3 linked regions of the Coturnix japonica genome follow. The protein of the gene in region 1 interacts with the protein of each later gene in a biochemical or structural test. Links are inferred from orthologs where the notes say so. Each region holds a gene or a part of one and is shown in the gene's direction. Other genes may lie near its edges. The genes, in order: PLCG1, EEF1A1 and BAG3.

Region 1 (3,440 bases):
TCTGCTTGGGGTGGGGGGGGGCATGGCATTGGCATTATCCATATGATAACTCCCTAGAAATCCCTAACACCATTTCTCTGTGACTTCCATTTACCAAAGCGCTGCCCCTCAAACTCTTCCTGCATCTCGGGGTGAAGCTGCAGCCTCCAGGCATCAAGGGACCCCATGCCACAGCCGTCTCCTTGAAGAGATGAGCTCAAAGCTGCCCGCTGTCCCCAGCCAACACCAGCTTTCATGGATGGAGAAGCTGCCTGGAGCACAGCATGACTCAAAGCATGTGATGCGGTGCTGGCAGAGCCTCCTTCCCCTGCTCCAGTGACATATGGCTCTTGGCAGGAGGAGCGGGGAGCTGTGCTGTGAGGAAGCAGGTTGTCCTCTGTGCTGAGCACCCACTGCTGCAGGCAGAGGGGAGGAACAGCTTCCTCCAGCCAAAGTGATGGGAGCGAGAAGTTCTGATGAAGCCATGGGTGCCCAGTGCCAAGGTCCAGCTTAGGGGAGTGATGCCATGGTCACAGCTGGGCTGTGCAGCTGCAGCAGGACTGCGGGCAGCTGAGCTGCTGGCTTCAGGCTAAACTACAAACTGGTGATATGCAGCAGTTCTACATCTGAGAGCTGCTTCCCTCCAGGTGTCAGCATCTCTCCTACCTCTGCTTAGTGCAGCCCAGGGGGGAGTTACTCAGACAGCAAGTTTGTGTATGCAAACAAGTCTTTTCCTTGGCTCCCACCCTTCACTCAGTCTCTGTTCCCCAGGTCCTGGGGGCCCGGCACCTCCCCAAAAATGGCAGAGGAATCGTGTGTCCTTTTGTGGAGGTGGAGGTGTCTGGGGCAGAGTATGACAACGCGAAGCAGAAAACAGAGATTGTGGGTGAGTGTGGAAGGAGAGGTGGCATGGGTGGGCTGGTTTCCCCCCAGATGCAGCCTTTGTGCTGGCTGCAGTGCTTATCAGGGGCTTGGCAGCAGAGTGGGGAGGGCTGGCCGTGGTGCTCAGACACCCTCACACCAAAGGGAGGAGATGGGGCTGGGGGCTCTGCTTCCACCTTTAAGGGTGGAAGGAGCAAAGCAGTGCTGGGGCTGCCCTCTCACTGCAGTGTTCTGTGCACAGCGGACAACGGCCTGAACCCCCTCTGGAGCCCAAAGCAGTTCCACTTCCAGGTCAGCAACCCTGAGTTCGCCTTCCTCCGCTTCGTGGTGTATGAGGAGGACATGTTCAGTGATGAGAACTTCCTGGCACAGGCGACTTTCCTGGTGAAAGGCTTGAAGACCGGTAAGGGCTCAGAGCTGCTGTGTGTGCCGTGTTGGTGCTCATCCATTTGCTGAGCACGGGGCAGTCAAGGAGCTGTGCTGCAAATAGCGTGGGGCTGTGTGTGCCGCAGGGTTCCGAGCCGTACCCCTGAAGAACAACTACAGTGAGAACCTGGAGCTGGCTTCCCTGCTCGTCAAGATTGACATCTTCCCCAGCAAGGTGAGGCATTGCTGTACCCATCCTCCAGTGCACAGCTGTGCTGTCCTGACTCCTGCTCCCATCCAGTCCCCAGGGCTCAGGGCCATGCAGAAGGAGATTCTTTGATTTCTTCACCTAAAATCATGCACTGGAATGGGTTGCCCTGGGTGGTGTGTCCCTGCAGATAGTTCAGGGGGTGCAGCTGTGGCAATAGATGCGGCTTAGAAGCGGGGAGGTCCAGTTGGTGGTTGGACTTAGTGATCTCAGGGCTGTTTTCCAACCTATGAGTCCATTTTGGTGGGATCCCATGATGGAGCTTCCAGTACCTGGAAGCCTGGGACACTATAGATTAGCTGTATGGCCCAGGGCAGCCCTGTCTATAGCTCTGCACCATCTCAACCCCTTCACTGCTCTTTGCTCTGACCCAAGCAGGAGAATGGTGACATCAGCCTCTTTGGTGGCTCCGTGCTGCGGGAGCGAGGTGGGGACATGGCCAGCCAGCTGCTGGCCAGCAGAGCCAGGGAGGGCTCCTTCGAGGTGCGGTACCAGCAGCCATTTGAAGACTTCCGAGTGTCACAGGAGCAGCTGGCGGAGCACTTTGAGAGCCGGGAGCGAAGGTGGGCACTGGGGAGGGTCCTTGGGGGGCAGGCTGTGAAATGCAGCATCCTGATAGAGCTGAGTCGTAGCCTTGTCTGCTTTCTGGAAGCCCTAAATTAAGCTGGGAAGTGAGGGTAAGGCTTGTTGGGGGTTCACTGATTGGGGTGGGGGGTGATGAGATGCATAGTGTGGGATGCATGGGGGGAGCTGTGAGCTCTTCCATCCCTCCATGCCTCTGTGCTATTCAGGCATGGGCATAGGAGCTGGAAATAGAAATCTCAGAGTGGTGGGATGCAGCACAGGACCTGGAAGCACTGCTCCAACACTGCATCCCCTCTGTTGTCCCCATAGGGTGCTGCGAAGGACCAGAGTCAACGGGGACAACCGGCTGTAGGGCTGGCTGGAAGCACCTCCCGTGCCTGTGGATCTCACGGCACGCTGCGAACTGGTTTCTATTGAAACGGCACTGCTATGGCCTACTTTCAGGCAGCTTTTCCAGTTTCTCCGCTGAAGTGTGTTTGAGCGGAGAACTAAAAAAAAATTGGGAAAAAAATAATAATAAACAACCAAAAGAACCACCCAAACACCCACCCACCCACCTTCACCGACAAACCCTTAATGACGTGCAGGGATGTGCACAGCCCAACAGCTGCTGGGGTGAGAGACAAAACCTCTGCACATACGACCCGCCACCCCTCTGCTGTATTGGTGTGCACTGGGCTGGGGGCTGCAGGCCCCACTTGTAGCTTAAACTCCAATAAACGTGTCAGTATTACATGCACGCTGTCTCATTTTGCTGCCCTTGCCATTCTCCTTGCTGGGATGAGTGAGCAGGAGCAGCCCCATGGTTACAGCTGGGGTGGGGGGTGAGAAGTGGCAGTGGGGTAGGGCTGCAATGTGGGGATGCAGCCCCGCAATCACCAGCTGACTCTCATTTGTATTTTACACTCTTTATTTAGGAACAACCAAAAATGTCTGGTTTCATTTCAACAAACTGTACAAGCAAGCTCTTTCCCTCTCCCACCCTCACGTTCACATATACAAAAGGAAGGGAAACTTGCCGTTCACTTCTCAGAAGTGGCATTGTTGCTACAGGGAGTTCGTGCCCTCGGAATGAGAGCAGTAAAGTCCATAGCAGTGCAAGCTACCCCAGCCCGAGTCACAGCCACAGCCCACAGTCACAGGCAGCTTCACTTTTTGTTTTGTTTTCTTCTTTAAAACCTTTACCAAAAGTAAAAACTATTTCCTGCCTCTCCCGGCTGCCAAGGTGACCAACTCAAATCGTGGTCTTAAAAAACACTTAAGAACCCACTGGAACCCCCCCCCCGGTACAAAGACACAGCAGAGCTGCTGCTCTGCCCCCAGCTGCATAGCCACCCTTATGAAAGGTCCCTGTGCAGCT
Region 2 (3,747 bases), on another chromosome or scaffold:
TCAAGGAGCATTTGGATGCTGCTCTCAGACGTGTGGAGCCAGGAGTGGGACGCGGTGATCCCTGGGGCTGCCTTCCAACTCAGCATGTTCTGTGGAGCCCCTGCCAACAATTGAATGGGATTACAGTTGAGTACACGTAAGTAACTGTAACATGGGTGCATTACATTCTCTTAGAAGAAGAAAACAGATCCTTTTAACCCAGACTGCCCAGGGAGGTTGTGGATGCCCCGTCCTTGGAGGTGTTCAAGGCCAGGATGGATGGGGCCCTGGGCAACCTGATCTAGTAAATGTGTATGTTTGGTGGCCCTGCCAGGCAGGGGGTGATCCTTGAGGTCCCTTCCAAACCAGGTCGTTCTGTGATTAAAGGAATAAAGTATTTGTTTCCCTTCTGGGGTTAATTTCCCACTAGAAAGCCATACAGGTGTTTTACACGAGTACACCCTGCTGGAATCACGAGGGCTTTCAGTGCTGGTGCCCCCGTTTCAGAAGCCAAAGGCTGGGGCTGCCAGCACCTTTGGTGACTCTCATGGGGCACCTGTCAGCCGGGAATGTACGGCATGGGGGCACTCGGGGCAGTTTGGAGCTCTCAAGCAGAAGCCCCGAATTGATGCTGAAGCGAATCTCCTTGGCCCTGTGTGAAACGCGAGGCCACCGGGGATCTCTGCTAGTCTGCAAGTTCCCACCCCGCAGCTCGCTGTCCGCGTCCCCTCGGGCCGCAGTCTCGGGCCTGAGGCGGAGCTCGGCGACTCTATGGCTGCCGTGCCGAGGGGGAGGCGGCGGAGCGGCACCTCCATCCCGGCTGGCCGCGCTCCAGGCGATGCCGTTCAGCATTGGGGCAGCGAGTCCCGACCGGCCGCCACTCGGCCCGGCTCCCCCGGGGCTGGGATCCGCACCCCGCCCCTCCCCGCCGCCCCCAGGGGAGCACGGCGTGCGGCGCTGCCGGGCGGGGCTTAGCGCGGGGCTTAGCGCTGGGCCCGCCGGGAGCCGTGACGCGGCGCCGAGGCCCCGCCCCGTGGCAGGGTATATAAGGGGCGGCGCTCACGCCGTCGTTCTTTTCCGCTCCGGGTTTGCCGACGCCGTGCGGGTGAGGAGCGTGCGGCGGGGCGGGCCGGGCCCGGGGGTGGGGGGAGCGGGGATGCTGGGGGTGCGTGGATGTACCGTGAGCGGGGGGTTGAGGCGCCGCCGTGCAGCGGTGCGTGGGGATGGCGGAGCGGGGGGATGGCGAGATAAGGGGCGGATGGGGGAAGCGGGGCGAGCGGCGGCGTAACGCCGACGTGTCCCATCCGAGGGCTCACGCGAGGCAGCGCCGCGATGAGCACATGGGGCCGCACCGCCGCTTCGGCTTCTTGCGGAGCCGCCTGGCGCTGCTGTGCGGCGTGCGGTGCTCGGCCGTACGCGGGTGGCGGCCGGGGATGGCGGGGCCGCGCCGTCGGTGTGGGCGATGGGGGAAGGGAAGGCCGGGGCACGAGAAAAAAAATGGCCGCCCGCTCTTCCTGCCGCCGTCAGCTCACAAAATGGAGGACGGCGGCCCGGGCGGGGTGAGTCACACACAAAGGAGAGGGGCGGCCCCGCCCTCCGCGCCGCCCCGCGCCGCCGCCCCAGCACGGCCCGGCCCGGCCGCCATGCGGGGAGGGGGCGACGGAGGAGGGGGGCGAGCCGGAGGGGACACGGGCCGCCAACACCGCCCGCCTCTCCCCGCTGCTCGACTCCCCCCTCCCATCCCCCGGTGGGGCGGGGCCGAGCCTACACGGGCCCTCTGCCCCCTGCGGGCGGCGCTGCTGCGGGACGGGGGCGGCCGCTGTAACCGGGATTCCTTCTGGAACTTTCAGGTGTCGTTTCTCTTTGGCCGGAAGAAAGAAGCTAAAGACCATCCGAAATGGGAAAGGAGAAGACTCACATTAACATCGTCGTCATCGGCCACGTCGATTCCGGCAAGTCCACCACCACCGGGCACCTCATCTACAAATGTGGTGGCATCGACAAGAGGACCATCGAGAAGTTCGAGAAGGAGGCGGCCGAGGTGTGTGAGGCAGCCGTGTGGTGGGAGACTGGGGGGAATAAGGGGCAAAAGGAAGGAAACCAGAACGTTTTACTACCACAAGGAGGCGGTTGGGTCGAGATTGTCCTGGTAATTGAACTAGAGTACTCAATCTGTTATGTTAAGGTGAAGTCATCGAAGCATAGAATAAAGAGCATGAAGCTAAATCTGAACGCTTAGAATCAAAATGGGAGCTCCCATCTTCATTCTCGGCCTGGATTGAGAATTACAGAATCGTTAATGTTGGAGAAGACCTTGAAACTCCAACTATCAGCCCATCCCCACCATGGCCACTAACCATGTCCCTCAGTGCCACGTCAGCAGGTTTCTTGGACACTTCAAGGGTAGTGACTCCACCATCTCTGTGCACAGCCTGTTTCAATGCATTGCTGCTCTTATGGAGTAGGAATTACTCCTAATATCCAATCTGGACCTCCCCTGGCACAGCTTTAGACTGTTGTCTCATGTCATCTTGTAGTTTAGTTGAAAATGTAATGATCAGCCTTGTCTCAAGGTGGGAGAGTCTAAGGTACCATTATGTGAACCTGTGGAAGTATTCCAGTTTTCCTTTGTTTTGTTTTAGTGATAAAATAGCACCTCGTAAGCACATGATAAAAGGAAATGCAGTGAATGCTGGGCTGTGTGGCTGTTAAAATACCAACTGGAGCAGGGATGGCATTAGTAACTAAGCTAAAATTTGTAGTGGACACTTGATAGTAGGACTAAGCCTTAAGAGATCCATCATAAAGATGTGTTAGCACAATTAACAAGTTGTCAAGAGGGCTGAAGTGTCAGCAGGTTAAATGACAGAGCAGTTGGCATATCTTGGTAGTAGTGCCAAGTGAACCTAGGCCAGAGTTTTATGAGCAACAGCAGCTTTCAGTGTAAGTCACTCCCTATTAATAACTTTGCTCGTTAGTGTGTATTTCATGGTCTTGGTGAGGTAAATGAAAATATATATCTTGAGGGGTTTTTTTTTCCTGTTTCAAACCCATAGATGGGCAAAGGTTCCTTCAAATACGCCTGGGTCTTGGACAAGCTCAAGGCTGAGCGTGAGCGTGGTATCACTATTGATATTTCCCTGTGGAAATTTGAAACAAGCAAGTACTACGTCACCATCATCGACGCTCCTGGACACAGAGACTTCATTAAGAACATGATCACTGGAACTTCTCAGGTAAGGAAATAAAGGATGTGGGGAGTTGAGGGAAGCTGCTCCTTGGCTGGTTTACAGCAGGGAAATTGCCCATGTGCTTTAGTGTGCGTGTAGGCTTTCTAACAAGGGCTTTTTTCTACCTTTTCAAAGGCTGATTGTGCTGTCCTGATTGTTGCTGCTGGTGTTGGTGAGTTCGAGGCCGGTATTTCCAAGAACGGGCAGACCCGCGAGCACGCTCTTCTGGCCTACACCCTGGGTGTGAAACAGCTGATCGTTGGTGTTAACAAGATGGATTCCACTGAGCCCGCTTACAGCCAGAAGAGATACGAAGAGATCGTCAAGGAAGTCAGCACTTACATCAAGAAAATTGGCTACAACCCAGACACTGTAGCTTTTGTGCCAATCTCTGGTTGGAACGGGGACAACATGCTGGAGCCCAGCTCTAACGTAGGTTTCCCTGTTTTCCTTTTTAATATTAGGAAATGGAACTAGCAGGATCATTAAGATAAGTTAAACAATAGTTAAATACGTGGGTTTGGGTTTTTTCAGTAGT
Region 3 (3,647 bases), on another chromosome or scaffold:
AATAATGACATTACCCTCTGAATGACAGAGGTGCTTGTTACATGATCTGACTTAGAGATACATCTGGAACTTGGCCCTAGCTGGGCCTCAAAATAGAATGACCGATGCAGGAAGAACTTAATAGAGGACTTGGGAGGGATCTTGGTACAAAGCACTTTCCCCCTTGCCAGAGCTTTGACATTGTCCAGTGAGTGCAGTTGGCCAGCACAGGAATTAATATTATCTAACCTTCCAGCATTTTCCTCTTCATTATGTTATCCTGTTGGAATCTGCTGAAGTGGATCCTCTCTTGGCTGTGAGTATCTTCTTCAGAATGAAGCAGCAGTAACTCTAGATAGGCAGTAGGAAGCACAATACCAACAAATACTGCTCTATGATGAGATAAATCTTCTAAGTTTCTTTTCTGCTGTTATCTATAACGCTGGGTGGATTTGAAGGGGTGTTAAGGAAACATCTGTGGTCCCTGAAGCTCTCATTTAATTAGCATGGTACCAGGTGAGGCAGCTGGACTCATGGCTGTATGCAGGTAGTGAGCGCTACAGAAAATCCCTGTTGTAATGTGGTATTTTAGTGCCTCAGTTAGCATTTATCAGCACTGAGGGTGAAAGGCTCATACCTAATTGGTGTTCAGCTTCCTTTCTCCTGCCTGCTGACCTTGCACAGACCTGAGGAGCTGAGCTTCTCATGCCTGGCTGACGCTTCTTTTAGACAGACCTTTATGGCTGCTTTCTTACGTGGTATGTTGAGCTGAGCTACCAACAAATGCTATGTGATGTTTTTAATTTCTAGGATGGCCAGTCGTCAGCAAATGGCCCATCTCAAGATAGTCCCAGGCAGATGCCAGCACGGGAAGGAAACGTGGTGTACCCCAAGCTCCGGGCTGGCTACATCCCCATCCCAGTCATCCACGAGGGCATCGACAGCAGACAGCACCCATACTTTGCTGCTCCACAGCCCGGCGTACAGCGGTACAAAGCAGAAGCCGTGCCCACCACAGCGCAGGCACAGCCACCACTGAGGGGGGCCTATGCCAGCCCTGAGTCCCCTCATAGGGGGCCGGCTGAGGCTTCCCAGGCAGATAAACAATGTGGACAGACAACAGCAGCTGCAGCAGCCCCAGCTCCAGCGACACACGGACCTGAGGTAACTCGGCAGTACTGCTGGGGTGTGTGTGCCTTGGTCTCTGCGGCCATGTATGACCTGACTGTCACACGAGTACTTTATCCTTTGGAAAGCCAAACCTGCCACAGGATTACATTTTCCCAATACTTCCACAGTGTTGAAATACAAAAGTGCTCAGTCACTTCAGCAGAAGTGTTTCACATTTTTCCGGCATTGACAGCTTTTGTTATCAAGTGATTTGCACAGAAACAAGCCTGTGAAAATTTTCTCTATAAAAAAGCCTGTGAATGGTGCAGGTGCTCCTGCGGCAGGTGAGGGCTGTTGTAGGGTTTAGAGTGGTTACTCTGCAAGCTGGGAATGCAGGCAGATCTCTTGCATTCCCTATGTGGGAAACAGGTGAGCAAGGGGAGAGACACAAAATACAAGTGTCCCATTAGCTGACAGCTTAGGCTGTTTCAGAAACAGGGCTATTCTGCTTTCCAGTTTAATACTCTGGTTTTATTAATTGTATAGATCTGCATACACAGATTTAGAAGTGAATTCGGAAATATTTTTGTTGTTATTTTGTAGTATGTTATAATACATGAACTGCTTTAAAAAGAGTCACCCTCCTTGCTTTGCTTTTCAAAAGGCAGGATTTTGGTTTGTCTGTTATCTCCTCAGAATTAGCAGGAGCAGTATTCTTGTAATAGGCTGAAGCACTAATCTCACTTCTGTTCCAAGTAAAATAAGCAGGAAATCGAGCCTCTATCAGCATGAAAACACATGGGGAATTTTTCATGTCGGCAGTGGCAGATATTTTTCTAAAACCTGTTTTTGTGTCTGAACAAGACAATTAAAATCCTGTTCGCAGTTTTCCTCAGTTGTTGCTGCTTTATCCATGAAGTGCAAGGATGGGAGGCTTAGTTCTTCCTTCTCTCAACTTAATGCAGCTGGGAATATACTTTTGTATTACATGCAGAATTGCTTCAGAAAAGTCTTCTCCATCTCATGTGCTCTGAGATAACTGCTGAGGACTGGAGAAGCTGCCATCACAAACTTAGGTGGCATGGGCACTAACTGACCAGGGCACTGACACAGCAGTGCTGGTGCCTGTAGAAAAAGTAGCATTTATTTATAGCTGCTGAGCTGCAGAGGTGAGCATTAACTAGCACAAAAGACATCTTGTTCCCTATCCTTTCTCACCTTGCCTGCCTACTTGTTGCTTCCAGCTACATTGTCCTGCTCTCCCTCCTGTGCTAACTCCAGTCTTACCTGGCCTGTCACTGAGATATCAATAAACCTGTCAGGAAATAATTTTTCCTCTCCTTCATGGGTTAAAGTATAGAGAATAGTCCATAGTAGGTGAGTTGATGGACTGGCACAGCAGGAGTAGAGAAGGAGTGAGCTGTGAGCAAATAAACTGCCTTTCCCCAGATGCTGTGGAACCATAACCTGAAATACCAGAAGCTGAATTGTGGTGTATCCCCAGCACTTGCTCCTGCTTACAGCAAATCTACACTAGTGCAGCTATCACTCCTGGTGCCAACAGGGCTGATGTGCTGGAAGGTCTCGTGAGGGGTCAAGGGGCATTAGCCACACATAGCAGGCTTTGGCAGTGCACTAAATTACATGCTTAAAGAAGTAAATAAATCTGTTAGCATGAGTGGGATCAGAAGTCTGAACTTTGTGTGCCTCTGAGTAGTTTGTTTTTTGTCTGCAGTACATAATTTGTTTGCTTAACTTTAGTTTGCCTCACATTTAACAGGTTTAGACAGGAGTAGCCATGTAAAAACAGAAAACATTCTGAGTGAGCATCCACTCCCTGCTTACTTGAGGGCTGGGAATGCTGTAGCTCAGGTTATTACTTGTTATAATGATGCTCTCTCACAACTTCTGTGGTTTGTCTAGCAAGGCAAAAAAAAATAGAACACAAACCAACACAAACCCAAACCAAGGACGTAGATCTTTTGTATGTGGGAACACAAATTCAGTTTCCATTTCTCTTTGAAAATGAAAAGTGCTATGAGCTGAAACAGCTGATTTAATAATGGATTTTGTTTTCATGGCAGCCTCAGTCTCCTGGAGCTTCTGATTCTCAAACGGTTCCACCTCAGTCATCTGGCAGATCCAATTCAGGAAGCCATCAGCTTCCCCGTGGCTATATTTCAATTCCTGTGATCCATGAAAATATCCAAAGGCAACCACCGCAAGGCTACCATCAGGCCCAGAAGACACACTACCCTGCCCAGCAGAGTGAATTCCAAGCCCACCAACCTGTATTTCCCAGAATTCAACCAGATGACAGGGAGCCTAAGACAGCACGAGCACAGTCTCCATTCAGAGCCACTCAGAGAGGGGCATCAAGTCGTGAGAGTTCACCTGCCAGAATTATCACCCAGCAGGTACAGCCCTCGACTCCCATCACAGTACAGACGGTCGTAGACAGACCTCAGGTATGTAGAGCGGGGAGGGTTATTACCTTCCACTTATCTCTGCTAGCCGTGCTGGGCTAGAGCTGAAACAGTGGCTCATACCCACAGGTA

Evidence for each region.
Region 2: the proteins of PLCG1 (region 1) and EEF1A1 form a complex in vitro, tested with the Homo sapiens proteins (2 studies listed by BioGRID, with this or other methods). The link is inferred for Coturnix japonica from reciprocal best matches to the Homo sapiens genes PLCG1 and EEF1A1.
Region 3: the proteins of PLCG1 (region 1) and BAG3 form a complex in vitro, tested with the Homo sapiens proteins (2 studies listed by BioGRID). The link is inferred for Coturnix japonica from reciprocal best matches to the Homo sapiens genes PLCG1 and BAG3.

The regions. Positions count from the first base shown.
Region 1 is NC_029535.1:4,220,494-4,223,933, forward strand, and holds the end of PLCG1 (1-phosphatidylinositol 4,5-bisphosphate phosphodiesterase gamma-1), read left to right. Parts: intron 1-750; coding exon 751-865; intron 866-1,102; coding exon 1,103-1,264; intron 1,265-1,373; coding exon 1,374-1,462; intron 1,463-1,870; coding exon 1,871-2,058; intron 2,059-2,389; coding exon 2,390-2,432; 3' UTR 2,433-2,819; downstream 2,820-3,440. UniProt on the Homo sapiens protein: Mediates the production of the second messenger molecules diacylglycerol (DAG) and inositol 1,4,5-trisphosphate (IP3). Plays an important role in the regulation of intracellular signaling cascades.
Region 2 is NC_029518.1:74,353,141-74,356,887, forward strand, and holds the start of EEF1A1 (elongation factor 1-alpha 1), read left to right. Parts: upstream 1-955; 5' UTR 956-1,084; intron 1,085-1,829; 5' UTR 1,830-1,876; coding exon 1,877-2,020; intron 2,021-3,035; coding exon 3,036-3,215; intron 3,216-3,344; coding exon 3,345-3,641; intron 3,642-3,747. UniProt on the Homo sapiens protein: Translation elongation factor that catalyzes the GTP-dependent binding of aminoacyl-tRNA (aa-tRNA) to the A-site of ribosomes during the elongation phase of protein synthesis.
Region 3 is NC_029521.1:27,000,188-27,003,834, forward strand, and holds part of BAG3 (BAG family molecular chaperone regulator 3), read left to right. Parts: intron 1-789; coding exon 790-1,143; intron 1,144-3,173; coding exon 3,174-3,557; intron 3,558-3,647. UniProt on the Homo sapiens protein: Co-chaperone and adapter protein that connects different classes of molecular chaperones including heat shock proteins 70 (HSP70s), e.g. HSPA1A/HSP70 or HSPA8/HSC70, and small heat shock proteins (sHSPs), e.g. HSPB8.